4 linked regions of the Yarrowia lipolytica genome follow. The protein of the gene in region 3 purifies or fractionates together with the protein of the main gene of each other region. This does not show direct contact. Links are inferred from orthologs where the notes say so. Each region holds a gene or a part of one and is shown on either strand. Other genes may lie near its edges.

The links.
Region 1: the proteins of YALI1_E27243g (region 3) and YALI1_F19244g purify together in Saccharomyces cerevisiae (affinity purification with mass spectrometry; 9 studies listed by BioGRID, with this or other methods). This does not show direct contact. The link is inferred for Yarrowia lipolytica from reciprocal best matches to the Saccharomyces cerevisiae genes TAF9 and ADA2.
Region 2: the proteins of YALI1_E27243g (region 3) and YALI1_F39885g purify together in Saccharomyces cerevisiae (affinity purification with mass spectrometry; 14 studies listed by BioGRID, with this or other methods). This does not show direct contact. The link is inferred for Yarrowia lipolytica from reciprocal best matches to the Saccharomyces cerevisiae genes TAF9 and TAF1.
Region 4: the proteins of YALI1_E27243g (region 3) and YALI1_C19529g purify together in Saccharomyces cerevisiae (affinity purification with mass spectrometry; 5 studies listed by BioGRID, with this or other methods). This does not show direct contact. The link is inferred for Yarrowia lipolytica from reciprocal best matches to the Saccharomyces cerevisiae genes TAF9 and TAF2.

The regions. Positions count from the first base shown.
Region 1 is NC_090775.1:1,920,976-1,927,928, forward strand, and holds YALI1_F19244g (uncharacterized protein), read right to left. Parts: upstream 3,743-6,953; coding exon 3,681-3,742; intron 3,501-3,680; coding exon 2,126-3,500; downstream 1-2,125. Other genes in the region: YALI1_F19216g (uncharacterized protein), read right to left, coding at 1-656; YALI1_F19218g (uncharacterized protein), read left to right, coding at 918-1,736; YALI1_F19249g (uncharacterized protein), read left to right, coding at 3,952-4,044, 4,532-4,945; YALI1_F19268g (uncharacterized protein), read left to right, coding at 5,826-6,953. UniProt on the Saccharomyces cerevisiae protein: Component of the transcription coactivator SAGA complex. SAGA acts as a general cofactor required for essentially all RNA polymerase II transcription. At the promoters, SAGA is required for transcription pre-initiation complex (PIC) recruitment.
Region 2 is NC_090775.1:3,983,459-3,992,224, forward strand, and holds YALI1_F39885g (uncharacterized protein), read right to left. Parts: upstream 5,132-8,766; coding exon 1,889-5,131; downstream 1-1,888. Other genes in the region: YALI1_F39844g (uncharacterized protein), read left to right, coding at 963-1,700; YALI1_F39891g (uncharacterized protein), read left to right, coding at 5,719-8,214. UniProt on the Saccharomyces cerevisiae protein: Functions as a component of the DNA-binding general transcription factor complex TFIID. Binding of TFIID to a promoter (with or without TATA element) is the initial step in pre-initiation complex (PIC) formation.
Region 3 is NC_090774.1:2,721,628-2,727,422, reverse strand, and holds YALI1_E27243g (uncharacterized protein), read left to right. Parts: upstream 1-3,082; coding exon 3,083-3,643; downstream 3,644-5,795. Other genes in the region: YALI1_E27273g (uncharacterized protein), read left to right, coding at 120-1,325; YALI1_E27249g (uncharacterized protein), read right to left, coding at 1,791-2,477; YALI1_E27229g (uncharacterized protein), read right to left, coding at 3,963-4,364, 4,432-4,485; YALI1_E27218g (uncharacterized protein), read right to left, coding at 4,979-5,566. UniProt on the Saccharomyces cerevisiae protein: Functions as a component of both the DNA-binding general transcription initiation factor complex TFIID and the transcription coactivator SAGA complex.
Region 4 is NC_090772.1:1,949,697-1,958,716, reverse strand, and holds YALI1_C19529g (uncharacterized protein), read right to left. Parts: upstream 5,743-9,020; coding exon 1,948-5,742; downstream 1-1,947. Other genes in the region: YALI1_C19510g (uncharacterized protein), read right to left, coding at 6,305-7,705; YALI1_C19500g (uncharacterized protein), read left to right, coding at 7,851-7,894, 8,698-9,020. UniProt on the Saccharomyces cerevisiae protein: Functions as a component of the DNA-binding general transcription factor complex TFIID. Binding of TFIID to a promoter (with or without TATA element) is the initial step in pre-initiation complex (PIC) formation.

The sequences.
Region 1 (6,953 bases), on a different chromosome or scaffold from region 3:
GTGGTGGAAGAGAAAGCGGAGTTGGAGTCAGGGTTGGCAGGGAGGGTAAACACCTCGTTATTGTTGCTACCGGGATACCACTTAACAGAGAGCTGGAGGGGCAGAAAATCACCGTTCTTGTATCTCTCGGTCTCCGTTCCTCTGGAAAACGCGGCTGCTACCACAGGCGTCTCGGTCTTTCGCGAGTACATCATCACGGCATTGAGCTTCGGGTCGATGTCCAAATGAGACTCCTGAATGTGGCCACGAATGGTGAATGTCAACGGAAGCCAGGTTGTAGGCTCTGAGAGCACGTTCTTGTTCTTTTGTTTGGAGGCTCTGAGTCTGCAGCTGAAGGGAGCATCCTCGTGAATATAGAGCTGGAAAAGGTGGTAGAGCGTGTCGGAGAATCCAATGGTGCAATTCACATCTTGGTCAACACGGTATTGAAGAGAGAGGGGCTTTCCTGTTTCTCTGCAGATGGGGAAGTCCTCATAAAGAATTTCTTGGGTCTTTTCATCGACCATGTGTTCTCCGTCGTGGATGTTTCGTTTAATGCATTCGAGAGGGAGATCGTCGCCTATGCTATAGGGGTTGAGATCTGTTTCTCCCCGAGAATCAAAAAAATATGGCTCAGCAGCTAGCACTCCGGCGATAAAAAGCGGGGCCAGTCTCATGTTGGTTGTGTTGGATGGTGTGGCCAGATGGTTGATCTGAACCTTGTAAGGTCAGCTACGTCACGTGCCCAAACAAAGAGTGCTTGGTGTCAAGGCTAAATTAGCCACATGTGGAAGGCACAGCGAGGCATCCATCGTGTCATAGCAACCATCACCTCGAACACCCAGATGGGAAAAATGGGAATGCCACAAACCTGTGCTGATTAGTCATATATCTGCCCAAAAGAGCCTTCTACTCTGAAATCAGATCGTACATGGGCCATGCATGGAGCTAAGTTACAAGTAAGAGGCAGCAGCAACAAGCCTCCCCATAGTTTCTTTCATGCCATGACGACCATACCGCAATCGTCACGGAAAACCACACTGATTCCACCACCAACGCAAGACTTTGCAGCGCGCCAACAGACCATACGACTGTATCCCTCCTCCAACTACGTGTTCGCAACCAAGGATGCTCAGGTTGAGAGGGATGTCTCTGTGCAGGCGCGCATGCAACGACTGAAAAGCATGTACGACGAATCGGGGATGTTGCGGTACGTGGAGGGGGTATTTCTGTGTCATGAGTTCGGAACTCCTTACGTCTTCTTACTCCAGTTGCCAAACAACTTTTTTAAACTTCCCGGAGAGTACTTGGACCCCGACGAGGAGGACGAGGAGGGTGGATTGCTGAGGAAGCTCGCAGATAGGCTCAGCCCTGAGAACGGAGAGGACCAGGAGAACTCGAAGTCATGGAAGGTACTAGACTGCCTGGCGCAATGGTGGAGACCTAACTTCGAGGTTTTCATGTATCCATTTCTGCCACCGCACATTTCTCGACCAAAAGAATGCAAGAAGACTTTCCTCATTTCTCTGCCCGAGAAGATTGCTTTCTTCGTACCATCGAATATGACATTCCTTGCTGTCCCTCTTTTCGAGCTCTATGACAACCCCGCGCGATATGGACCCCAGCTTTGTGCGTTGCCACATTACCTCTCAAGATACAACTTCGAGTGTGTAGACAAGAATGGTGTGGTGGTGTCGCAGTTTCCTGGGTCTGCACCATACCAGCAAAAAGATGGAGAAAGCAAATTGCAAGCATAGAGCAACGGGCATGTGGATCAAAGACTGGATAATGGGTGGCAACTGCATAAACACCACAGATCACCCTGAGAGAAGATGTGCCCAGCCATCTAGTTACTAAGCTGCTAGATGTCCTGCATGAGGTGGTCGTTCAGCACCCTAGTAGTTACAACTACGAGGTAACTGCGGAATGATCAGGTCTCTTTGGTAAGTACAAGTACATACCCGGCAAGGGAGTATAGCTGAAGTAGACTGCAATAAACTTTGTATAATAGCTACGATACTCGATGTTTGTCCCTTCTAGTGTTCGCGGTTTTGTTTCTAATGTTTGTATTTGAATAAATTAACTAATATACAGGATTCCAAGAGATTGGTGACACTCAGCATTATATATGGGTTGCAACAAGGCCCTAAGAGAGCCAGCGCTGAGACTGGAAAAACTCATAGATTCGAGCGGTTTTGTTGACATCAATCTTGACCAGTTCACGGGCTGTACGCTTCTTGAGCACACCTCCGGTTCGCAGCAGCTCTCGGAACAGCGTTTCCTTGATGGCCAGATACGGCTTGGGCAAGATACGCAGCTGGGAACAAAGAACCTGCTCTTCTGGAGAAAGCAGCTCCACGTCTGGGGCATGCGAGATGTCGAGGGGATTGGCCACAGGTTTTCTGAAAAGCCGTAAGGTGTCTGCTCCCGAGTCAGGGTCCATCTTCACAGCTTCGGCGGCAGCCTGGTTTGCGGCAGCGGCCTGTTTGTTGGTTTTTTGAACAAGAGCATTGTTTGCAGCATTCATCGAGTTTGCAGTGTATCTGGATCCAGTCGAGTTGATGGAGTTAATGGGAGCCTGCAGCCTGGCCAATGCGTTTGCACGTACAGTTTTATCTCGTTCGTATTTGGACGCAGCTTCGAAGGTGGTGATACCGTTACGTCGATACTCCTGAAGTTCAGCCAGTCGTCGTCGACACTGGAGCTCAATAATCATTCCATCAACAAAATCGGTGAAATCCTGTAGTGTCATGATTCTTGCAAACGGCTTTAACTTGTTTACAAGCTCGCGCTCCTCCTTGGTCCGTTTCTTATCGACAGAGGCGTTCTTCCTGTACTGAAGCAGCCCATGGTTGATGATGGCTCGCTTTCGCTCGGTTCGTGATGTGAGACGAGAGTTGTAGATATCAAGAACAGTGATCTTGAGCTCCACATCAGCCTCGGTGTCGTCCTGATCAAAAACCATGTCCTTGACCGTCATCTCGGCCTCGTTTTCATGCTCGGTCTCGAACTCCAGACGTCCCGGCATAAACCCTTGCACCTCATGGCATGCAGGAACAGAAGCCGTGGGCTTTTGCTTGGGCACAGGGAGAGCGGTGGGCATATTTCGTCGCTTATCCAGACGCTCCTTTTTGTTTGCTGCGAACTCAGCTGCAGTGATCTCGAATTTCCGCTTCATGGGGGGCAACGGGTAGTCTGGCGAGTCCAGATAGACTTCCTTGTAATGCTCCCCAACCTCTTCCTTTGATCTACCACCGATATGGTCAGCGATGTCCTGCCAGTTTCCAAGACCCTGCATCTCGGCACCCTCGATTAATAGCAACTCCTCATCAGCACCCCAGTCCTCAGTGAAAATAGGATAAGCATGCTGCTCAATAATCATGTAGTTGTGGTAGGGCTTGTGGACACCTGATGAGGCACCCTGAGAGAAGCATTGTACACACAGATCGTAGTCCTGGCACTCCGCACATCGGATTCTTACCAGGTTGGTGCAATCACACGAACACACGTCGCAGTGAAATCTGGATTTAGTTAGCATGGGGTGATGAAAGTGTATCGAAATCGAGTCAACGGGGGACTCTAGCACATTCCTTCGCTTGACACAACCTTGGAGCAACTATACAGCAACAACTTGCTGACAAACTGCAAAAATATATAAACCATGCTGAGTGCATTTGGGACATGATGTATGATGTACTCACTTGACGCCTGGCTCTGATGCCTTGGGATTTGTCGGCGCGTTTTTGCGATGGATAACCGTCATTATTGCGATTTAGACGTAGTCGTTCTTTGGTTGATGGCTGGACTTCTTCGTGTCCAGTTGTTTGTCCTGTGCGCCACGTCGTTTCAAGCGGCGATGCTAATTTATTGGCGTAGTGACCAATTTCCAACCCACTTTCGAAGCTTAATGCCACATTCTGGAGGTGTGTGTTAATTTCTCACTGCTCACACCAGCTACTTGTACAAACTTGTATGTTGGTGGCGCACTGTATAATTTATTTACCGAAAGCGTCAAATCGCCTCTTCTCTTACATCGCGATTTGTACTTGCATTGTATCTCATAGGGTATGTCATGGTTCAGTGTAGGCCAGTGTATGGTGTTACCCGGTCGTATTGCTTGGAGTTTGATGTTCAACATGTTCCTGGGGCTTTTGAGATTAGGGCTTGCTTATGTGGGAGGCGTCTTGAAAACGAACGACCAGTCTCAATTTGGTTATTAGGGTTTGGGACTTACATGTGGGAGGGGCTCTGATGGCTGGTTGTTGGTTTAGGGTTGAATTCCGTTTTAAATTTTGACAGTCCGATTCTGGGCCCAAGCACGTGCACTGCCTAATCGGGACGTCCCAACGCTGGCCCGCGCACATTGACGAAAGCTGTAGAGATTTTACTTCTCAGTGTACTTTTCGCCAGTAACAAATAGCACAAAATGGTGAGTGTGAAAAGGTGGCAGTGTGACGGGCACAATCACGACTGACAAACGACAAGTGAATCTATCTGCGACGACAAGATGAGAAGGATTCCGTGGTGATTTCCAGGCCGTTACTAACCCCAGGGTCGAGTTCGAACTAAGACTGTCAAGCGGGCCTCCAAGGTCATGATTGAGCGATACTACCCCAAGCTCACCCTCGACTTCGAGACCAACAAGCGACTTGCTGATGAGATCGCTGTTATCCCCTCCAAGCGACTCCGAAACAAGATCGCTGGCTACACCACCCACCTCATGAAGCGAATCCAGAAGGGTCCCGTCCGAGGTATCTCCTTCAAGCTTCAGGAGGAGGAGCGAGAGCGAAAGGACCAGTACGTCCCCGAGATCTCTGCTCTTGACCTTTCTCACACCGACAACCAGCTCCAGGTTGACAACGATACTGCCGACCTCCTCAAGACCCTCGGATTCTCTTCCCTTCCCCTTAAGGTTGTCCACGTTTCCCAGCAGTCTGCTGAGCGACGATTCCGAAAGCGAAACTAAAATAGCAAAATGTATTATTGATTCACTAGTTGATTCACATGTTTATTCGAAATGTTTTTATGTTCGTAGCTGATGCATGTAACTACTTTTACGTAGTTCTACCGTACTCGTACCAGTAACGGAACGGGTAATTGTAGCTATGATATGTATTGTATGAGTAATGCACTAATTAGTACTGTACTGTATTGGTATTGTAAAACGCCAGATTCTCTATCGACATTACAGATGTTGTTCGTACTGTAGCTCGTGAGATGTGATACTGTAGCTCGTGAGATGTGATACTGTAGCTCGTGAGATGTGATCTCTCATGCGACGACACACTGCAAATGTGTATAACCATGTATGTTTGATACAACACATCGTATAGTACAGGTACAAGTACTATAGCTAAATGTACAGTACTGTATACGATACTTGTACATACGGCATAAGCTCGTACTGTGTCTCCTTGTACGATACTTGTATCGTGGTATGTACATACGGTACAAGTGCGAAACAGTTCGTATACAAGTGCCACTTGCACACGTTTGTTGTGCACGTGTATATAAAGCGTGTGGGCTATTAAAGCTGAAATAATACTTTAGGTGCTCACTTGGGTGTAATTGAGAGCTTTCTCGAACAATTTAGAGACTTTTGTATTCATTCCTTGCAGCTATAAGAGACTTTGCTTATATAATATAGTTAGTTTTGTGTCGTTTCGCATCATCTGATATCTCACACTTCCCAATTTGGGTCTGTGTGTGTTAGGGTTCAAGAAGTTAAAGCTCGATATGCATACCCTTGGTCCAGCAGCCATGGTCTGATATTCAAGTGCTCTCTTCACGCGTACAGAGATTTACGATATTACAGACACTGACAACTTGAGGTTTCACGAGAAGCTATGTCTGACCAGCACTCTGCCCCCTTTCGAAAAGTAGCAGGGTCAGACGTGCTTGAAAGCTCCAACCCTACGCCAGGCGGCCTGGACATCCCAGAATGTTTACCTGACCCAGGTTGGGAAAGATCAGAGGGTGGCGGTGGGGTACCAATTTTCCGGCCTACCATGGAGCAGTTTGAGGACTTCAATCGATTCATCATGGAGATTGACAAGTGGGGTATGAAAGCTGGCATTGTGAAAGTCGTTCCTCCCAAGGAATGGCATGAGTCTCTACCTGCTTTGGATGAAGTTGTCAAAGGCATTAAGATCAAAAACCCGATTGTTCAGCACATCTCTGGCCATGCTGGCCATTTCCGCCAACAAAACATCGAGAAGCAAAAGTCTTACAACATTGCACAGTGGAAGTACTTGAGTGAGCAGCCTGACTATCAGCCCCCAGCCAAGAGAGGAGAATCTCGCAAGGACTTCAAGAAACGCAAGAACATACCCCAAGACGATGCCATTTTTGAGGATTTCGACTATAGATTTGATGACTCTGAATTCACCACGGAGAGGATGGACTTCTTAGAAAAGATTTACTGGAAAACGATCGCCTACAAAGAGCCCATGTACGGTGCCGATATGCCTGGGTCACTATTTGACGACAAGACACGCTCATGGAATGTGGCCCATTTGGACAACTTGTTGAACCAGTTGGATATCAAGATCCCTGGTGTCAATGATGCGTACTTGTACTGTGGTCTGTGGAAGTCGACTTTTGCCTGGCACTTGGAGGATATCGACCTGTATTCCATCAACTACATCCACTTTGGTGCACCTAAACAGTGGTACTCTGTAAATCAGGAGGATGAAGCCAAGTTCTACCAGATTATGGCTGACACCTTCCCAGAAGATCACAAAGCCTGCAAGGAATTCTTACGCCACAAAACCTTCTTGGTTTCTCCTCAACTGCTGGAGCGCCACGGTCTCACTGTTAACCGCCTGCACCATTACCAGGGAGAATTTGTTATTACATTTCCTTATGGCTATCATGCCGGCTATAATCTTGGATACAATTGTGCAGAGTCAGTCAACTTTGCCACACCTCAGTGGGTTCCTATTGGTAAGCATGCTCATAAGTGTCTTTGTATT
Region 2 (8,766 bases), on a different chromosome or scaffold from region 3:
GGAGCTCTCTCCATCAAGATGCAGGTACAGGGACATACACAATCCGCAGTTTGAAGGTATAACAAGGAACTATTAGATCACATACCAAGTCTGTTAATCGTCTCTGGGAATATTGCCCACCCTCTATTCAATCTTAAACTCCAGTATGGAGCTCATAGCAGAGTTAGCTTTGAGAGACCTACTTGTAGCATGCGTTGGTTACATGGAACAGATCATTAGGCTAATACATGTTGTAGTACAGTATGTACCACACAACAGTACCAGTATATAAATGTAGAGGATTCAGCATAGGAGGTGATAGAAGCAGCAGTGACATTCAGTCAGTCTAATTTGTATCACACAAGTTGCAAGTGAGTATGGAGAGATGGACTGGACTTCCATCATCGAGAAGATGTCACAGGATTGTCTGTTGGCAGGAAGTCTACAGCTAGTTGTGGTACAGTACCATTGGAAGTGGCGGTGGACTATTAAGAGTTGAAGTTGTTGATGTTTCTGAGAATGCTTATCGATCTTGGAAACGTTCACCACTGTCAGCTTATGCTCAGAACAACTCAATGACAACCTTTCCAACTCAGTACCTCAGTTAATTATCTCCTTTGCTAATTTCAGTGCTCTCGTTCATTGCCCTCTTTCTTCTTGTTGCTCAGGCTCTCGCGCAAACGGCTCCTATCACCCAGGAGACATACGACTTTGTTCTCAAGTACGGATGGCTATCTAACGTGGCCTATTGTGTCAGAGCCCCTGGCCCATTTGCCCTGCAGAGCGATTTTACCTGTGGAAACTCTTGCGCTCATTTTCCCGATGTGACTCTTGACTACCAGTTTGGAGGAAATTTCTTCTCGACTTCAGTTACTGGATTTTTGGCCCACGATCACACCAAAAAGGAAAAGTATATTGTTTTCCGAGGCACTTTCTCCATTGCAGACGCTATTACTGACATCCAAACGATCCAACAACCCTACATGACCAGTATCCCTCCTCTTAACACTACTGACATAAACTCCACAAACCCTTCTGCCAGTATCAATTGTCCTGGCTGCCAAGTTCATGATGGCTTTCAGAAGGCATACAGAGAGACTATGGTGAACGTACAGGATCGTCTGGTCGACTTCCTTGGAAACAACACTGACTACAAATTGATCGTAACTGGCCACTCTCTAGGAGCTGTCACTGCTCTATTCATGGGCATCAACCTGAAGAATCTTGGATATGATCCAACGCTAATCAACTATGGGCAGCCTCGACTTGGAAACAAGGCTTTTGCAGACTACGTGGACGCTCTGTTCTTTAAGCAAGGAGACGACGGACTTACCATCAACCCCGAAAGACGGATGTACCGAGTCACTCACTGGAACGACTTCTTTGTTGGATGGCCCGCTGGTTATTCACATACTCTGGGAGAAGTTTACATCAGTGATCCCACAGGTATTAATGCTCCTATTGAAGATGTCTATTCCTGCGCTGGACCAGAGAATAATCAGTGTCACCATGGATCATTCAATCTTCTAGAACGACTCAACATTCTCAAGAACCATTGCGGTTATCTCAATTGGATTTTCTACTGTGCTATCAATGTGGACAAGAGAGAGATGATGATTGATCCTCCCCGAGTTGGCAAGAGAGTTGAGCATTGGAGTGGCAAGTTTTCTGATGTTGAATCGACAGAAGGCCTGATGTATGAGGCCATTTATCCTATGTAATTGAATCACACCAACCTTTTCCGAGCCATTCTCAAACACTTATACTTAATGAGTATTGTTAATACTGTATGTGCAGTACATACTGTAGCACCATAACCGACCACTGTTTTCTCTTGTTTGTACGATTTTTTTACGTCTTTACCTGTGCAATAATACATAATAATTTACTATTCCTCCATGCTATACAACTACAGGTTGGCAGGTCCCTCGAGTTGGTTGTACATGGGACAACTCTTGTTGGTTCGAATGTGGCCATATGCACCACAGTTCTTGCACTGTCGCGGACCCTTGCCTTTGCCGACACCCTTGCCTGAAGGGGGAGGAGTGTCGGTGCCGAGGTTGATTGTGTTGAGACCCTGCTTCTGGGCCTGTCGCTGCTTTCGTCGCTCGCCCTTCTTTCGCAGATCCTCCAGCCGCTCCTCCAGCAGCCGCTTGTTTCGCTTGTTGGCCTCCTCGTCGTTGGTGGGGTCTAAGTCGTCGAGTGTTAGCTTGGCCTCGTCCATCAGCTTTCGTCGTCGAATGTATGCTCGAATGACACTGGGGTCCTTGATGGTCTCGACCTTTCGCTGGATGATACCGTGCTCGTCCTTGACCATTCGCGTGATTCGCAGCACCTTGTTGCGCTGCTGCATGGCCGAGTCGCCTGACATGAGCGACATGTTATCATCGTCGGGGAAGGCTGCGCTAGTGAAACCAGGCGTAGACACCCGCTCTTGTTGTTCTCGCTGCTCCTCAGCATCGGCCCATTTTGAATCTTCGTCGTTCTCTTCAGGTACCTTGGTGTTGCTGAGAGCTCGACACTGGGCATACCAGATTCGGCTGATCTCATCGTCGTATGCACGCTGCTGGTGGGCCACGTTGTACTTGTGTCCGCCAAACTTGCTCTTGTCAAGCTTCTCATTGACAGACTCACCAGCGGCCTGAAAACCACCCTTCATGGAAGTCTTGAGGAATGAGAAACCCTCGCCTCGACCAGAAGGATCACCCTCGCCATGCAGCTGCAGCATGGCCTTGCCCTGGGTAGCGTTGATGAAGTTTCTGGTCAGGTTCCATGGAGCAGACTGCTCCTCCAGAGAAAGACCAGACTCCTCGCCATTCTCATGGTCGCTCTCAATGTCGTCAGTTCGACCATATCCAGCATCCTCAAGGTTCTGAACACCAACCTGCATGGCCTCCAAGAGAGTGATGTCCTCGGGTGTGATCATGGTTCTGATGCCGTCCTCGCCAGGAAGAGTATCGGTAGGCTTGACCTTCCAGTAACCCTGATCCTCACCTGTTCGCTGATACTCCATAAACTCCTTGAGCCTCTGTCGGTTTTGAGTGTCAATCTGATCAGGGAAATGTTCGGCGATATCCTTCACGTTGATTCTATGATAAGGTGATGCGTTTAGCACTCGATAGACAATCATCTTGAGCCGGTTTTTGGAAGCCGTGGTTACCTTTCGAGAGTGTGGCCCGGGTACGTCAGTCACGGGGTATGTTTGACCGACAGTGAAGACATGTGGAATATTTCTCAGAAAGTACTTTTGGCCAGCCCCAGTCACATCGCCTCCAGTTGATCGGATCATAAGAAAATCTGTGTCACGTGGTGTATGCTTGAATACGGGGGCTCGGATCATCTTGTTGTACAGAGTAGGCACAATCTTACCCGGCTCGACGAATCCAAAGTTCCAAAAGGGAGACTTGTCCTGGACCGACAGAACATGTGTCTCTCCAACGGGGAGCTTAGGTCGGGAAGTATCCTCAGGAGAAGCTTTTCTGTAATAGTTGATCATCTTAGAGCCCATTCCGTAGTTGGAGAGGGTCATGGGGAATTGCTCAGCGTACTCCATGAGGAAGTACTGAGCAGAGTCACCCAACGACAAGTCCGTAGTCTTGGCCAAAAGATCCTTGATAGGCTTTCCCCTGTCTCGCTTCTTCTTTCGGATCTTCATTCGCGAAAAGTGAACAGTAGTGTTGGGTTTCACCACAAATGATGGCCGATGGAACGAACGAGCCTGAGGCTTCGAGATTCGCACTTTGTAGAATGGACTTTGCAGTCGGAGAGCTGGCATGGAGTGATCGATAGACAGATTGCCAATAGTGGCTCGTACCTTGCTCTGTGTGTTCTCCTTGAGCATATCGTAGGCTCGGTCGTTACTGAGGTTAAATCTGTTTCGAAGCTGTAGTTCGGTGGAGGGAATGGCAGGAGTCACATTCTTCGATACACGACCATCTGTGTTGATGAACAGTAGGTTGGGGTCGTTCATATCGAGGTTGACCTTCTTCACCTGACTGAGAGCATCGCCTTCAAACAAGGCCTCGTCGTTCCAGGCCTCTTCGTTTCTGTGCACGCCGAGCTGTGGAACAACCTCTTTTTGTTCCTCCTTGACCTTTTCGCCCTCGCAATCCATATCCACGTCTCCATCCCCATCATCCTCATCTCCCCACGTGATCTTCCAGTCAGTAATGTCGAAATGCAGCTGCTGGTCTGTTGCTGATTGTGTGGTTCTGCTTTCTCGGGCCAGTTCCTGCTTATCGTCCCCCGTCTCGGCCTCGGTGACTGTTACAACACCCGGTCGCCGCTTAGCATGGTCCACCCACACTGTTCCTCGTGTCATCTTACGCTCATCTGGCGCCACCTCCAGCTTAGTCTTTGTGGGGACACACGGACGAGCAGTGTTAGGCTTGGGCAGACTCAGAACAGCAAACTTGTTGTAGAAGAGCGAGTTCATCTTCATAGGCTTGCCCTTTTGGAACCCGGGGAAGTACATTGCAAGCATGTCAAGATCAGCCTGACGCGCCATCTGTGCAATTTCCTCCAGATTGAGCTCCTGGATGTTCATGTGTTGGATGTCATCAAATCCAGAGGCGTCCATCTTGTCGGCAGGCCCTAACTTTCCCAGTTCGCCTAGCTCATCTGCGTCAAGCTTCATGTCCAGCCCGTCGCCTCCAGCAGCCTCCATCTCCATCTCTTCGTCTGACTCTCCAGGTTCACCGGCATGCACGACATGGTTGTTGCTGTTGGCATTGTTATTCAACATTCCAGCATGGACAACACCACCATCATCGTACTCGTCCATCACAGGCAGCTCGTCCATTTCGTTGCCTCCCCAGCTCTGGCTCCAATGTTCGTCATCTCCCAGATCAAATCCTCCAAGCTCATCCTCGCCAATGTGGAACTGGAAGCCACCCAGGCTATCGTTCCCAGACATGGATAGACCAGCTTCCTCCTCGACAATCATCTCCTCATCCTCCTCAATCACGTTGTTTCCGGTTGCTTCCTCCTCTTCGGGCAGCTCATCATCTGCCAGCTCGTCTTCGTCCTCGAAATCGATGGCGTCTGCGGAGTGTTTGATGGCATCTGCACCATCAAGCGATGGGACAACACCTCCAACGTTGGTAGGGTCGCCACCGAGTGCTCTGGCCCAGTCAGCGTCTTCGTCGGCCATTTCTGTTTGTGTAACTCTTGCACGGGGTGTAAATGTAGCTGCATATTGGATTTAAGATTCAGGGCTAGGGTTGATTACATAAGGCTAGCGGATGAAGAGCATGCTATCTAGTGATAGATTGGATGATGACCAAATCCAGACGACAAGGAAATATTTCTAAATGGTGATAAAGGGAAATGGCCATTCGATTTTGGACAGTTTGGTACATTGCCACGAGTCTTTATTGAGTCAATAGCCTCTCGAGGTGTATATAAAAGTCAGCGCATGCACTGACCCGAACACATACTGTATAACGTGTATGATTAAATCCTAACATTTATATAACCAACATACCGACTACTTGTAGATTCTATATTACTTTGTACACTAAGCACTTTGTGAGTCATGTCTTTGTTACAAGTATTGGTTGCTGATCATCATTATCCTCACTCCTGTTGTTGTTATGAAGTGTGGTTTTTATAGTTGGGTTTCTTCTCCTGCATATCAAGATCTTTACGCGCTGGGTCAAGCTTAACAAGTTCAGAAGAACTCATTCACTACTCAATTTCGATTTTTTGGCACAACGAGCTGTCTTTTGGACTCGCCACATGGAAGACAGATTACAGCAAAGGGTACGGGAGACTTTGTCACTACCGAAAGTCTTCGACCGGCTGGACTCCTATTTTCTATTCTTTTCGGCATGGTACAGACGCGTTTCCAAGGACTACACATTACAAGAACCGGAGGAATATGAGAAGGAGCGTCAGAATGCCGCCTTTATCGTCGACAATGATTCAAACACGGGCGAGGAGGTTGTGAGAGTGACCAGAGATCACGTGCCTTGGGTGGTGCTTGCTGCTCACTTCATGACGGGGTGCTCTACGAATGCTACTTACGTGAGCGAACTGCTAGAGAAACGACTCAACATTGGAAGAATTCCGAAGGAGATGGTTGAGAGTATCATTGCATGGAGTATATCTGGCATGCATATGGACGAGAAGCTGGCATTGCAAGCTCTGGAGGCACGGCTTGACGAGACGGAGAGTGGCAGGGCCTTGACCCAAAGCTTGAAGGATAAGATGCAGAGGACGATTTGGGACAAGGTGTTTCAGCATCATCTGAAGAATTCGCAATTAAACCCAATCTGCGAACGACCCGGAGTTGTGTTTTTTGCCCTGTTTCCTTTGTCTAACGCGAATGGATATTCTCTGCTCTTCATCGATTATCTCACCAAGGCTGCCACATTCAGCATACCTTGCAAACCCAAAAACGCGCTGGACCTGATCAGGGACATTCGGGTCGCCGTTTTGGATCATTTAAGAGCATACGGACAGCCCTTGGCCCTAATTTGCATGAACCCCTGTCGAGGAACGAACGGATGGCTTGGAAGCGTACTTCAGAAGGCATTCAAGCACATGGTACCTTTCGATACGGTAGTGTCCATCTACGAACTTCGGGCCCGCTCACTTCCATCCCGAATAGCTGAAGTTTTCGAAGAAGCAACTACAGCTGTGAGAGACCCCAATGATACCTTGAAAAATAGCCAACCATTCTGTTTCCTCAGAACCCAGAACACCCACGAGACTTGGGAGCATCTCGTGTTGGGCCATTTTATGACTCTTCAGAATCGCTCCTTTGTAAGACATCCTCGAGACCTGGAGTCGGGTGCTACATCTGATAATATGAATATCTGTTTTCACATCATCTACGAAGTGAATCTCTCTCTGCCTTCATCTAAGATAAGCAACGAGGCATGGTCTTGTATATTCTTTCCCAATCCCTTTCCAAAAGCGAAGCTTGACCTATTCAAGCCAGAGAAAATGCCCAGAGCTCTCGAGAATGAACTCAAGGAAGTTACAGCGCTATCCCTCGATTTCACACTTTCTCCCGAGACACCTGCTTTACCTGCAGACATGCTGGAGTTTGATGAGACTTCTAGACGCATCGTTGCATTTTGCTTCCGAAAGAGGCGTGACAGGGTCTTGCCGAAGAATTTTGTGGAAGAGCTTGAGCTGAGAAAAATCAAGAGAGCGAGAAAGGATGCCGAGGAGTCGGAGAAGAGACCCGTTGAAGAAGCTGCTGATAAGAAAAAGCAGCAGGAGGCTGAGAAACAGACTTCTGGTCTACAAAACGCGGAGGAGGAAAAGATGCCACTTGCTGAAGAGCCTGCTGAGAGGCCGGCTGGAGAGAAACGACGATTAACAGCAGAAGCCGAGAAACAAGGGCTGGCTGAAGCAGAAGCTGAGAAATTGACGGTTACTGGAGTTGGACGCGTCAGACAGACTGAGGAAACTGAGAAACAGATACTGGTCGGCGAGGAAGCTGGAAGATTGCGACAAGCTGAGGAGGAGGAGATTCAGGGATTGGGTGAGGAGGAAGTGGAGGTGGAGAGGGCGAAGCCGGCTACTGAGGCTAAAGATGCTGCTGAAGATGAGAGCCAAAGACTTGCAGAAGAGTGTGAAGAGGTCGGGCGTCATAGACAGACAGAGGAGGGGGAGCGACTCAGACTGACAAAAGAGGAGAGAACGAAGCATGCTGACGAGGAAGAGAGGGCCAAACAGGCCGATCAGGTTATGGAGGCTATGGCATCTTTCACGGCCGAAAAGAAAAGACTTGCCGAGGAGGCCGAACGAGAAAGACTAGCCGATAAGGCGGCCGAGGAGCAGAGGTTGGCGATAGAAGCGGTAGACATGGAAAGGGCTGAGGCAGAGGAACAGAGCCGGCAGGAGGTGGCCATTTTGGACTCACCAGACGACAGCGAATCTTCCCAGGAGATACAGGTTGAGAAGACTGCTGCTGAGGAAGTGGCCGAGAATCTCAGGGTCCAAGAGGAATGGAGACGACAAGAGGCTGAAAGACAGAAGGAGATTGAGGCCATCCTAGCGGCTGAAAGAAAGGAGAAGGCTGCTAAGGAAGCTGAGGTTGAGGCCGAGACCAAAGCTAATGCAAATATTGAGGCTGAAGCTGCTGACACCACTCTTACCGAAGAACGCCAAGCAGATTTGGAGGATGAAGAGGATCTGCCCCCTACTAATAACCCCATTACAGCATTCCTCAGAACTGTCAAGCTGGCTCTGAATCGAGCACCACCACCTAGGAAATAGAAGCTATCAAACGGCTTGGAAATATATATACATCAATAATTTATAATTTAATATTCAATGGCAGCTACAGGATATCCCACTGGTAAGTCTTATCGGTATGTGTTTAGTAAGTTTTCATGATATGTAAGGGGGGTTGGCATCTTTGGGGTCTACTAAGTAGCAGGGAAACTGACATGGGACTGTTTAGAAGAATGAAATCATAATTTTACTACCAAAATATGTTATTATTCCCGCACTTATTTCCAAATATCTCTATCATCACATTCTGGAGCTTTCCATCTGATTCTGACGACTTCTTCCTCCTGCACCCTAAAAATTCGTCGGCATAATGCATGCATCAACGATGCACATTTTTTCGCCACTGACCAACCTCTCCGAACCTAAACCGCCTCGGCAAGGGATATATAAACCCCCTCTACGTCCCACTTTTTCAATCAGAATCAGACCAGTTCACTCTGAGTCATTCTGGAGATGGAAGGTGCCTTTTATAGCCTGCTGAGATGCAGAGCTGATAAGCAGACCTGTCTCATACAACGAGGACCGCTTCGCTAG
Region 3 (5,795 bases):
TTTCCCTTACTTTTCGTGTCTGACCGATTTGATCTGATCTACTCTAACTTAGTATCAGTGGAGTGCGTCACCATCACCACACCAACCTACGCGTGCCACACGACACTCGACTCCCCGAAATGCAGTGCCGCAAATGCTGCTTTGCATGCGAAAAATGGTGCTTCATAGGCGCCAAGGCGTTCCTGCCGCTCGTCGTCAATTTCCTCATCATCTGGGCCTGCTGGGTCCACGCATGGCTGGTGTGCTGGGAACCGCAGTTGTTTGAGTCCGACACCACCTTCTGGCGCGTCTACGGCGTGGCGGGCGTGGCTATCGGCATCATGTGCAACGTGCTCTATCTCAAAGTATGCAAGGTGGGCCCCGGAAGCCCCACCGACATCGACAACTTCTCGGTGCCACTGGTTGAGTACCAGAACGCATGCAGCGCCGAAGGCCAACATCTCACGCCTCCTCGAGAGATGGCTAACTCCGTGTGTGCCAAGGAGAATGGAGGTCTACGGTTCTGCACCAAATGCATCGGCTGGAAACCGGACCGATCACACCACTGCTCAAACTACAAGCGATGCGTGCTCAAGTTTGACCACTACTGCCCCTGGTTTGCCACGGCCATCGGGTTCCACAACCACAAGTACTTTGTGCTGTTTCTGTGGTACGTGACAATTCTGTGTTTCTTCTGTCTCGGCTCTACGGGCTTTGTCTTCTACAACCACATTCTGGAGATTGGTGCCATGCGCGGCCCGGACGGAAACACAGACTACGTGGGCGCAATATCCGTCAACGTCATGATCCTCATGGTCCTGGCACTGGTGTTTGCCATCGCGGTCGGCACGTTTGCCACCTTCTCGCTCTACCTCGTGTTCAACAACCAGAGCACGGTCGAGTTTCTGGAAAGCACCCAGTACCGGTCTGCCGTGCCCACTGCCGCATACAGATACACGTTTGCGCCTACGTCCAAGACGGTCGGAAACGTGTTTGACGTGGGCTGGAAACGCAACTTCCAGCTCGTCATGGGCGACAAGTGGTGGATGTGGCTGCTGCCTATCCAGCCCAGTGAAGCGGCCCGGGGCAACGGTACCCAGTTCCCCCTTAATAAACAGGTGCTGCAAAAGATCAGAGAGGCCGCGGCTAAGGAAGTCCAAATCAGAGACCAGAACCAGGCCTACATCAAGCAGCAGCGTCAGCAACAGCAAAAACGCACACAGTACGACCTTCCTCAACATCTCCAGCCTCCTCCTCAGGAGCACTATGAGTATGACGACGAGGCCCAAGACTCTGGAGACGACATTCCATTGATCAACATGGTCAATAAGAACAACACGAAATGAGAATAAGAGGTAGCCGACGAATGAATCGGGGGCCGACAAATTCTTGGAAGCTATCTCTCCCCTCCAGCATATAGACATTGCATTTAACCTGATATATTATACCCCATTCAGACAAAGATGCATATTCAGGCAGATCTTGGACAGTATACAGATACTATGCGGGTAAATTACTGTACCCTTTAATACCATACAAGTACGTAGATGTACCACTCAATTGTGTACATACAGCTACAGTATGTACTCGTTCTTGTACTATCACTTGAACATATTCTCGATTACATTACTCTACTCAGCTCGCTGCTTGATAGCATTAGACCCTCGGGCCTTGATGGCAATCACACAAGCGGCGGTGAAGAGAAAAACAAAAAAGCAGCTGGCGTTGTGCTTCTCCCGCTGGTACACGGCCTGGGTACGGTCCCGCAGGTTATCATAGATTTCAATGGCCTTCTTTTTGGAGCCATGTAGTCAGAGCTCATCCTTGTCGGACTTGCCCTTCTTCTTGACGTCCTTCTTGGGCTCCTTGGCGTCCTCCTTGGCAGGCTCAGCCTCCTTGGTCTCGGACTTCTCCACGGGGATCTCTCCGGCATCAGCAATGGTGATGTCGACCTTGGGGTTGGATCGAGCGCCGGTGGGGGCGTTCTCAATGGCGTCGACAATGTCCTGGCCCTCGAGAACCTCGCCAAAGACAACGTGCTTGCCGTCGAGCCAGCTGGTGACCACGGTGGTGATGAAGAACTGGGAGCCGTTGGTGTCTCGGCCGGCGTTGGCCATGGACAGCTTGTAAGGCTTGGTGTGCTTGAGCTGGAAGTTCTCGTCGGGGAACTTTCGGCCGTAGATGGACTCGCCTCCAGTGCCGTCTCCTCGGGTGAAGTCTCCGCCCTGGATCATGAAGTTCTTGATGACTCGGTGGAACTTGGAGCCCTTGTAGCCCTTGCCGGTCTCGCCGGTGCACAGAGCTCGGAAGTTCTCCACGGTCTTGGGGACCACGTCTCCGTACAGACCCATGACGATCTTTCCGAGCGATTCCTCGCCCTGCTTGATGTCAAAGTAGACCTTGTGGGTGATTTCGGCGTCGGGCTCGGCCTGTGCAGGCTGGACAAAGAAGGCCAGAAGAGCCACGAGCAGAACTCCAATGGTGGCAAACAGTTTCATGGTGGATAGTATCGTGTGCTGTTGTGCTGTGTGGTGGCAGTAACAGGGAAGGAGGCGTGCTTAAGTAGTCGTACTGTTGGGACCGTGTTGGTGCTACGTGGAAGAGCATAATGTTAAACAGGACCAATATATGTCACGTTGGAACTGGTGGGCGCAGGGAGATGGGCGCGAGGGGGAGGTCGCGGGGACGTCACGAGCGCGCTCAATTGGTGCAATTGGCCTCGTTGACCTAGTCATAACCAGTTGGTGACTGTATTATTCATGTATCCACGTTCTTGGGTGGGATTGCAGTGTATGTGGGGAGCCAAGCACGTCATAACATATGCCTGGGATCTGATTTTTTGAAAGAGGTGACAACATATCCCTCAGATGGTACACAACTACTTCCTTTTGGCATCTTTCTCTTTTTTAAAAGACCTCAACTGCGACTTTTATAAGAGTTATGTCAGGTCCCTGATTCACCAGCACCTCCCCACTACCCACCACTCATAACCTGAACCTAATAATGCACGATCCAACATGCAACTCTATCAGAAGGACAGAAAGATTCACACTCATAACCGTCTACCAGAAAGACACACAAAAAAACACACACAGACACACACATGGAATCGGGTGATCTTCCAAACGCAGCCACACCGCGAGACGTGCGTCTGCTGCATCTGATTCTGGCCTCCATGGGCGTCACCTCGTACCAGGAACGGGTGCCTCTTCAACTCATGGACTTTGCCTACAGATATACACAAGGCGTGTTGCACGATGCACTGCTGTACTCGGACCATGCTGCGGCCGCCAACAACTCTCACAACGACAAGACGGGCCCTGTTTCCGGCGGATCTGGCGGAAATGCCAACGCAGCAGCAGCAGCAGTTTCCACGTCGGCTCTGTCAGTGGAAGACGTGCGACTGGCTATTGCTGCTCGAGTCAACTACCAGTTCAAGCCAGCACCACCCAAAGAACTGCTTCTGGAGATGGCACAGGAACGTAACCGACGAGCTCTGCCACAGGTACAGCCTGGCTACGGCTTGAGACTGCCCCCGGAGAAGTACTGTCTCACTGCCAAGGAGTGGGATTTGGACGAGGAGGAAGAAGAGACTGTTGAGGGAGCTGAAGAGACCAATAACAACAGCAGCAATGAGGATAAGGAAATGAAGGATGCGGTCTAATTAGGTGTATTTTTATTGATTATTGAACTCCGCCGGAGTAAAGGTTGGAATTTCATGGATATTTGACGAGAGGTGTTCGTAGTGCTTCAAGGGAGAGCAAGAGATGCATCAGAAACCATTGAAAGACTGATTCCGAGACACAAACTACACTGCTGTACACATAAATGCATTCCACAGCCGTACGCTTCATTGTACAACATGATACCACGAGTACAATTAGTTACTTGTACTGAAAAAGCTATACAAGACCATTCGCTACGCTCCAATTCTTGAGGTCAACAACAACAATATAAATACACTATGCTAGTCTCGCCGTTGGTTACGACTGAATCTCGGAAAAGTTCTGCACCAGTTTTCCCACCGGCTTGACGTTGGACTCCTTGGCAACCAGCTCCACAAACTTGCCGACATGCTTGGAAACCACCTGTTTGTCCTTTTCGCTCAGGTTGGCCTTGCTCACGTGAGAAGCATCGCTAGCAAGCACCACAATGCCTGTTTCGGGGTCCAGCTGGCGCTTGAAGTCGGAGGCACTTCGTTTTTGGGTGATGCCGTTCGGGGATTCGACCTGGGCCACCGCGCCGACGTCGATGAGATTCGAGCCGGTGCTCGTCACAATCTGATGCAGGTTAGACATGCGTTTCTGGCGGTCCGAAGGGTCCACTGCATTATCGTCTGTGGTGTCGATTGTGTTGTTTCCAAGAAGAGGTTCATTTTCGGAGATCTGGGTTAGTAATCTGCATAGAGAGAGTGTGTGGGGAAAAGATGCCGGCAATCAAATGAATACTCACACCAGGAGGGTCTTCCTCAACGGGCCCTCTTAAGCAAGACAGCAAGACACCCATTTGCTGTGTGTTGTTAGTAAGATGGTGATGGAGATATGAAAGTGTGGAGATGCATGTTTGAACTTAGATGAATATCATAACAAGAAAGGAGAGTAGTTACTGGGATGTAATGGATATGTCGGGAAGGTGATGAATATGAAATATACCATGAAATTACTGGAGAAATTGATTTTGATACTCATTTTTGTAATTTATTGCATATTTACCAACTTAAACACTTTTGTTAATAATTACTTAACCCCCCAAGTAATACATCAAAGCCCATGTACTCCCAACCCTAACCCCCAAACAAGGTTCTGGCCAACCAAACGAAGGGTAAAATCTCAAGCTCTGTAGTAATAGCGTCAAGATCACGGTTCAGCTCGGAGGCTCAGAACACAACCCCAAAAATGCGATACACACAGCTGCTGCGAAACGTCTCCAAGGGAGTCCAGAAGAGTGGCCAGAGCGTCCTCGTTCAGATGCGAGAGGGAAGTGAGTATCTATGTGGTTTTTAAACCTGACTGTGCACTACACAACTACGTCTGATGTCACCACGACAGGAGACGAATGTCTTGTCTATGCCACTAACAAAGCTCCTATCGGTCTGACCGGTATCTACCAGCATCCCAACCCCCGACCGGCACTGATTGCCCTGTACGAGGCCACCCTCAAGGAGCTGCAAGACAAGCACCCCAAGGACTCTGTCTACCGACAGTCCATCGAGAACCTGACTGCTCACCGAAAGCAGATTGTGGAGGACAACGAGGTCAGTGAGGTGATCGAGAACAAGATCGGAGCCGGTCTCATTGAGGAGGTGGTCATCCAGGCCCACGAGGAGCTCGAGCTCGCCAAGAAGATGAGCGAGTGGAAGCCCTGGGAGGAGCTGGAGGAGAAGCCTTTGGAGGACCAGTGGGTTTACTTCAACAAGAAGGGTGTTGAATAAGGGTATAGCATAAAGATGTGGATATTGACGATCATGAGCGTGGTTAATGACCCGTGAGCGAACCAATGGCTTGTGAATGGTCCAATGAGTGAGCCACCGCAGTCGGACAAGCCATTTGCTCGGTCTCATGGCCTCATGAGAACGTAGACAAGTCATTGTTGGACAATGGTTTACAAAATGTGGGCGTAGAAATAGAACGGCTCTTTGATTAGCTACTTGTAGTCTACAGTATTTATGGAGAATCTCGTCATGTACAGTATGTACATACTTGTACGATAGAAGTGACAGATGACAGAGGTATACTTTTTTGAAGTTGTTTATTACCGTGCTAGATGGCGCCGTAGAGCGGTGATATTGATTCAATGAGCAGTCTACAAGTGTACCA
Region 4 (9,020 bases), on a different chromosome or scaffold from region 3:
TCTGGTGACTTGTTTCACACTGGATGCAGCAAAACATCATGCAGACACTGTTGTGCTAGTGTATCAGGTTACCCGATCATGATCTCATGATTCTCCAGGGATTTTATCCAATGGGGTCATTTCGACGTTTCGATCCGTTCCCCGAACTTGAGATGTGAATAGGAGTCTCCGGAGCTGCCACTTTTCGATGAGAACGCAGCATGTGCCTTACATGTCGATGGGTTGTTTCTAGTCACTGCTTGACTCTAGCTGACATCAGGATGAACCCCAAAGTAGATTTTTCGACTCAGCTCCGTTGGTTCATTGTCCTACATCCTTCAGATGATCGTCTTTTCCATGGTTCACAGCAGTTGTCTCACCATTCCTTTTCACCTATGTACTTGTTCTTGCTCCCTTCACAAGTCCACAACGTCAAACAGTCCCTCCCTTTTCTCGTGAAGACTCGAAAGTTCTTCTTTCCAAGCTTTCTCGTTTCCTCGTCAGCTCTTTCATCACGGTTGTCGGTCAGCTTCTTCGTGCCTTGGTTGGACGATACCCAAGACATCTTCATCATCATCGTGAAGCTCGAAGAGACGTGAAAATTGTCATGAATACGTCTAGACACCATTGAAAGCATTGAGTAACTGCCAAGAGTTAGCGAATCACTAGAAACAACCATTGACAGTGCCATGGACACAAGCCTTGGATTACGATTCCAATTTGTCCGGAGCTCCTAATAGTGTTCTCCATTTTCCCTCTGAGAGAGAGTAATTACCATCAATCACCACCAGAGGATCAACAAAGACCTTTCAAAAGGTGTATAAAGTGCTACAGTGATCAAATGATCAATTACCATTCCCAAGTTCCTCGTCTCGGACTCTACTGCTACGCTACGCTACTGGCTTCCGGGATAATGCTTACGGTCCAGACCAGGGACGGTCAGTCATTCTACTCGTAAAGCAGTTTACTGCAGGATACGATAATCAACCTATCAGTACTGTATCATTCACTGTTTACACATTAGCTACCCTAGCAAGAGCAACTTACTTGACTACATACTGTACCTACTTGCATCGATGTGTTTGTACTGAAAATATTCGCCGTTGTTCCAGCGCAAAGGGCACGCATTGGAATGGTTTAGAGACAAGATATAATTAGCCCTAGCACTTGTCACTTTGGACAATTGGCTTGAACACGTGACTCTTCAGCCTGAATTATTACCCATCGTTCCATTCTACTTAGACAAACATCTTGAATTGATGCTCCTGAATGCCAGAAGAGAGATAGAGAAAAACAGAGCCGATTATTGTATTTATTGGACCTCATTATGCCATATTTTTAACTCCCAAACTCCACTGATAGACCCCTTATCGAGTTATGACAAACCTCATTTGTAGCACATACGGAACATGTCCAGTCCAGGTTTAAATATCCATTTACAGAACGCGATGGAGGTGCTAGACACATAGGGACTTCATTATTGAAATCTTTGGCCTCTATAGAGATTGTGTACCATTTGTGTCTATACCTCAAAGTGCTCTGGAACGAAAACATAGCGCAGACTTGGAGGCGAACAACTACTTTTATGAAAAAACAGATACAAAAAAAGAAGACTTAAAAACAAAAACAAAAACAAAAAAAAAAAAAAAAAAAAAAACACGACATGACGTATAAATAATATATACATTCTCTCCTTCTTACTCTACAGACATATACACTCAAAAGAAGCGGGCCGGTCATCAGAAATCCACCAACATTGTCACGTGTTTGACCAAAAGATGTGTTCAGCAGTCAACTGAACCACGAGAGCTCACCGCAGAGTTCACCGCAGATGTACTCTCCCATTCTCCAGCAAAGGCGTCGTAGTACTACTGGTGGAAACGACTACACCTCCTCCTACAAACTTGCGTCTTCTCTGTTCCTACCTCCTCCCCCCTCCCCCAATACAATCATCATAAATATACATTATTACTTGAAACTGAGCTTTACCGACAACCGCTTGACCTCCTTTTTTTTGGGACCGGGATTTGTCGTGATCCTGAAGCCCGGCCTCACCGAATACTTGACCTTTGGGTTGTTCTTGGATACCACCACAATCTCCGACCTCTGCGCCTGCTCCTTGAGCCGCTTGCTCTTGATGGCAGGCAACACGGCCGTCTTCTCCGGAGCAGGAATGTTGGACTCCACCCGCAAAGCCAAAGAACTTCCAGAAGAATAGTCTACGCCCAACTTGATCAGACTGGGGGTCGACAACTTGACCTTGAAAGCATCCACAGGTACAAACAGCACCTGACACACGTCTAGCAACTGCGACTTGGCCTCCAGACCGTGGTATGGACTTCGTAGCGAGTCCCACAGCTCAGTCTGGAGACTGGTGTCCTGCCGGAGCATGTCTCGAAGAATATCTGCAGCCCCAGTAAGCGACGTTCGAGCCATCTGCACCTTTCGCGCCTCCATCGCCGCCTGGGTACCATCATCGACAATCATACCGTCATTGTCATCGGCATGGTTATCTGCAGACATATCACCCTTGATGGCCAAAGTGCCGAGATACCGCGTGAAGAGGTCGATGATGCCGTTTCGCACCCGCGCAGAGTCGTCCAGAGCAGCCGAGGCGAACACATAATGCATAATGTAGTGGTTTCGAAGCCCACCAATGTGCAACATAGCCTCGAAAGCTGCCAGACGCACCTCCGATGAGTTGACAGAACGCGTGAACTGGATGAGATCCTGCAGCTTGGCAGAAAATAGACCCTTGAGAAAGAGCCGCTTCTTGGCCTCCAATGCAGCCACAGTCACCACGTTCTGGTACGACGGAATCCAAGTGTCCAGGCGACCACACCGATCAATCTCGTTGACTGCACGGGCAGCAAATTCACGAGTAGACTCGTCGTTGCTGTCTGACGAACACAAGACATCGGCCAAAAACGTAATCAGATCAGACAGGTAGAACGAGTCACTCATGGAGTTGGTTGAATTCTCATTGTAGGCCAAAATGTCTAGAATCAGCGTCCGGATCTCTGCGGGACACTCGCCATCTCCATTTCTGATCTGAGAAAAGGCTCGAGTAATGGCCTTTTGCACGAAATATGTGGGGAAATCCGAAAAGTCGTTAGATCGAGGAATAGACGAGTTGGGGAAACAGAACAAGTTCTGAAAGGCCTTTAACAGATGCGTCTGACCAATGTAAGACGTTTCCGAAACTGCCATCTTCACCAACCCAAGTGCTGCTGCCACTCGAACTCCATAATAGTACCGCCGATCAATCAATGTACGTAGCAGGATCGTCGAATATACCTTGGAGGGTCGCGACTCGGCAAAGAACTGCACCGATTCGTACTGGGCAACCACATCTCGATCCTGTTGAAGCTGAGAAGCGTACATGTAATCGGGTTGGTTGACATGGATCTTACAAATCCATTCGAAATCTGCGTCGATTCGGAGCCACTCAAACGCCTCATTGGACATGCGCATCTCCTCATCCTTGCCCCACTCACTGAGCTCCCACTCTTCCAACTCTGCATCGGTCTGTAGCACATCGCCCAGACACGAGATGACCACACCGACCTCATCCTCCTCATTGTTTGAAGCAGAAGCTGCAGGAGGCGCCGCAGTTGCAGTAACAGTGGCCGCAGCTTCCACCTCTTTCTTGTTCCGCTTCAGCCGCTTATACTTTGTGTTGTACTGGATATCAAGTTTGGTAAAAATGTGCTTGATATCCACCACATGCTCGTAGGGAGTACCATCAGCCTCGTGGATTCGAATTGTAATGGGACCAGTAAAAAGTGGCGTTTTGGGACCTCCTTCCTCCTCATCCCCATGATCCACTCCCTCTTCACTCCGAATAACGTCCCCAATAAAGGTATCCTCCACAGGTTTCTTCTCGCCGCTCTTGTCGGTCTGGGTCTGCCGAATACCCATTTCAATGAACATTCGCTTCTTGTTGAACCGCTGGGTGACCTGCAGTACAGGAACACCACTCGAGTACACCCACTGGTCAAAGAACTCGTCCAGCTTGCAGTGCGAAACTCGCTCACACAGCTTGTAAAAGTGGTTTGTGCCCAGAGCATTGTTGACAAGATCACCAGAAAGAGACTGCAGAAAGATACGGGGAATGACTCGAGAAAGACCAAACGTCTTGTCGATTTTGGTCATTCGACGATCCAGAATAAACAAAACTCCCGGAGCCTTCAGGTTGATGAAGCTCAGATCCTTGGGAAACAGAGGGAATCGAAAATGGGGCTTGGCGAGCGGTGGGCGACCCACATCTTCCTCACAAATCATCTCAGCCAACCGCTTAAACCGGTACCGGTACTCGTTATTGCCCATCAGACGCTTCATGAACAGAGCAGCCATGTAAATAGCCAGACCTTGCGTCAACCACGTGTCGTTCCAGGTGCGTGGCACAATGTTGACACCACACCATTGGGTAGTCAGGGCAACTGTGAGAGCTTCTGTGGACGAAAGCAGGGGATCCACTACATCCGGAGGATACAGAAAATCGTCAGAGGCAACACAGAGACCCCCAGACGCGCCCATCTGTGCCTTGCCATACTCAGACACAAACACCACGCTCATGGCGTCGAACGGGAATGAACCATACTCATTGGTCAGAAACTCGATGGCCTTGTGTAGGAAGACACATGTGTTTGAGGCGTCGGAAACCTGGTCCGGAAGAGCAAACACCTTGATGGGGAATCCTGCTGGTGTTCCTCCGTCCTCGTCTTCGTCTGTGTCTCTGAAATCAGGCAGAGGCGCCTCCACAAATGGACCCACAGCAAAGCCAATGTGCTGGGCCGAGACGGGGTTCCAGAGGGAGTAAGCAATGGTCTTTTTGGATGCATCGGCGTGGGACAGCTCCTCCACCACAGCTCCATTTCCCACCACCTCAATTTCGATTTCCATTTCCAGATCAAGTTCCTCTTCCTTGTCGTCCTGCTCCATCTCCTCATCCTCATCATCGTCGTCAACGGTCTGTTTTGGCGACCCGGTTTCTGTTGTGAGTTCCTTTTTGACCACATGCTCGTCGGCAAGTTCTTCCTTGACACGTGGAGTGGCTCCTTCGAGACCCTCGTCGTCGTCTGCGTCCTCCATATCGACGTCGGGCTCCTCTTCCTCGACCCTTGCTCCTCCTAGACTGCCCACCGTTCGGGGCACCGTCACCTCAAACTGCCACGTGCATCGAGACCACAGACCGTCCACACACGGCAGCCAGTGGCTGGTGGCCGCTCCTATGGGTGCGTGGGTTGTGTATGCATGCCAGAACGACTTTTTGAGCCTCGATCCATGGCCCCCGACAAACGTGACTCCCGTCTTGGGATCCCGGACCACAAACGAAATGGTGACAATCAGAGGAGCGTACACCCCGACGGCCTCCTCATCTGCGGCGGGCCCTGTTTCCCGTGACGTGTCCTGATAGCTCACCTTGACGCCTCGCGGCAGATTCACCTCCAGCTCTCCCTCCAACACCTCCTTGTGGGCGTGATCAATGTACTTTCGGTAGAGATGGTGCTGATGGACGTCCGAGACGGTGCGCGAGTCGCTGAACGCCTCGTAGCCGCTGGCGTCGTGATGTGTGAACGTGGCCTTTTTGCCGTTCACCAACACAGACTTGATCTGCGCCTGCCGACAGTCGAACCGAAACTGCCGTATCGACAGGTCCGACGGCACAATCGTGATTTCCGTGGAGCCGCGCAGCACCTTTTCCCCGAGATCCACGTCCAGCGACACCTTCTGGTGCGCCACATTGAATCCCCGCGACATGCTGTAGAATGGTTGGTTTCTGTGTGTAACTGAGTGGCGTCGCAACTGTGGTTGGTGATGGTGATGGTGTGCAATTACAGGTGCATAAGGTTTGGCGGTAGCGGGGAGAGGTCTAAGGAAAAGCGTCGGGGATGGGCGAGAGGCGATGAGGACGGGTTTGGTGGAGACAGGTGGTGTTGGAGATTCCGGCAATATTCTCCTTTTTACGATAGGAGTGGTCCTGGGTGAGTTGGAGAGTGTTGTTTTGGCGAAGCAGTGTAAGTAACTACAAAGTATTGGGTCAACTAAAACGGAGCTTTTTTAACTAAACTTTAAGGATAGATCGGAAGAGCGGTCAGCAGGAATATTACGATTATTAATAAAATATTATAGAATAAAAAAAACAAAATAAAACAAAATAAAACGAAATAAAACGAAAATAAAACAAAAAACATGGAAATAAAACCAATTACCAGTCCCAAAAGTCACCCATAACCATGCATTACCAAAATAACGAAAATAAAACCAATTTTCAGTCTCCAATAACCATGCATTACCATCTATATAGCTCATTCTCACACCTTTACTCATTCTTGAACCCCTTGAAGTACTTGACTCGAAAGTCCTCAGCCTTACCGCCTTCAGTCTTTCTCAACTCGCCCTTATCGCCCTCCTTTCGTCGCCTGTACACCAAACACCGTCGCGACCACTGGTTGAAGTCCTGCACACAGTTGCAGATGAGCTCTAGATCCTCATGGAGAGGAATCTCGGCGTCTGTGTAGTCCTGGTTGGCGGTGGGCATCCAGAAGGCGAGCCGGCCGTCTTCAACAAGTCGCTCAGCCGAGAAACTCAACAGAGCATCCATCATCTTTCCAAACTCAAACGGCTTCTTTGGAGGAATGTAATCTCGACGAGTATGCGCCAGCTGACCGTCCACCAGAGTCGTTTCCAGATGCTTCTTCTTCTCAACGTCCTCCTCTCGCACTCCCAGGACTTTGAGACCCTCCCGAACTCCGTAGGGAGGATCACAGACGATGGAATCGAACTTGAGACCCTTTCGGAACGAGTTGTTGGTGAAGTCGACCGCCAAAACGTCCAGAAGCCGGTTAACGGAGTTGTACTGTTTGAAGTTGGCAGGAATATCGCATCCTTTACCCTTGCCTCTGATCATGCGCACATCGATGTCCGAACCCACCGTGAGAGCTCCAAACGCTGCCGCAGCCACCAGAAACGATCCGGTGCCGGCAAAGGGATCGTACATGAGCCCGTTTCGCTTCACATGCGCCAAATTGCACGTCAAAAGAGACAATTCAGCGTCAAACGACGTCGTGCCGATATATTTGCGTTTCTTGAGATCAAAAGTGTCCATGGCACTCCGGTTGGAGTTGGCAATGTGTCGTCCAAAGAATATTCGCGCGGGAGCGGGTTCGGGGTTCTGCCCGATGACTCGGTAGTCCTCCAGAATGGTGAACACGTGGTCCGGCGACTTCATTTTGATCTTTCCCTTGAAATCCATGTATGAAAACCCCTCCACCATCTTGATAAACTCCTCCTTGGGTCGCGAAGATTGGTATCCAATGATTTCAAACTTGAACGAGTCGGTGGCATACTTGGGCCACAGTTGGCTGGTCTGGGTCTTGATCTGCTCGTGAAGCTCCTCCATGGACGCAGCTGGACCGCCCCAAAGCTCGTAGATGGACTTGGCAAGCACGGATCGTCGAATCAGCTTTTTGGCAGCCTCGTCGTTCTCCAGCTCCACAATCATGAACGGAGACGACTCGTCATGGGACGACAAGTCAACGGCGATATTTTCGAGCTGGGCCAGGGCGGTGAGTTCGGCCAGCCGAAACTGCATGTGCGTTTGCGACAGCAACAGCAGGTACTTCATTGCTTCTGTTTGTGTGGTGTTTTTTTTTTTTTTCAGATCAGTAGTCGCATTATCAAAATATTTTTTAGACTTTGACTTTTTTTTTAACATAATCATTTACAGGAATCGAACACACGACGTTTCGATATTTTCCCCAATTGGGGGAATGGGTTAGGGTAAAACAGAGTGCATAGTGACACCGCAGAGGGAGGTTTTCTCCTCTACCACACACACACACATACATAGCGACTAGATAGTTAACATGTCTGGACTCGACGACGACGACGATTTTCTCAACGATATTTAGTGAGTACTCCACGCGACCGGCGACGTGACACAGATAGGTATTTAGAGTATCTAGGTGGATATAGGGCTTTTGTTTTGTGTGGGGGTGGAGGGAGAGTTGCCAGAGATGTACTTGCACAATCTAGATGTATGGTATTAGTGGTCGGAAGGGTGGTTGGAAGGATGGTTGGAGGGGTGGGTTGACCAGGGAGAGTTCCGATTCCTGAGGTGTTAAAGCAGTCAAAGGGAGATCAGTTGCAACGGTCAGACTGAAGACCCATTTCGGAACTGATCACCATCGACTTGTGCCGAGTTTGCATAGCCCAGCTTCCCTGTCCCCATTGGGCCCATAACGACTCTTCTGTACTCACTTTTACTGCTCCACGGCTGTCACCCAGTACCCAAGGGTAAGTTAGATACAAGACCCAACTGCTGTTGAGCAGACAGACTGTTCCGGCGGTTGCTGGAGTAGCGAGACACGAACCGATGAAAACATTTGACTATCTCCACTAGCCAGCATTCTACCCCTAGCTTATCCTGCACATACTTGAGATCTGCCCCAGCTGTGTTCTGAGCAGTCATTCCACGCACTGGAATGCAATCATAAATCTTCTCCAAGTTCCTCGTTAGACGCCATCTTCCTTTAGATGTCCATTTTTCAGACCACATTCGTCCCCTTCTCCGCACCATATACCTCTCCTCTCACACTCCAGACCAACATCCTTGACATATTTGAGCTCGTGACTACAAAATCATCGTCTCTAGGAGTTGTACGAGTACCAACTAGGAGTTCCCACGGCCTTCTGCTACCAATACTAACCCAGCGCCGAGGATAAACCTGCCAAGGTTGAGCCCAAGGCGGAGGACAACATCCCCACGCCGGTAGCTCCCGCTGCGGCCACCCCCGCCGCTCCCACTGCTGATCCTCGATTGGCTGCTGCTCCCTCAGCTCCTGCTGCCGCTGCCATTCCCACTGCACCCGCCGCCGCAGCTGCCCCTGCTGCCGCCGCTCCTGTGGCTCCTGCGGCTCCCTCTATCCCCGCCGAGATGGCTGCGGCAGTCGCAGCAGCCATGCCCGGACCCAACGGCGATCTTGTTTACCGGTCGGATGGAAATGCCGCTCTGGGAAACATTGTCATCCCTCCCA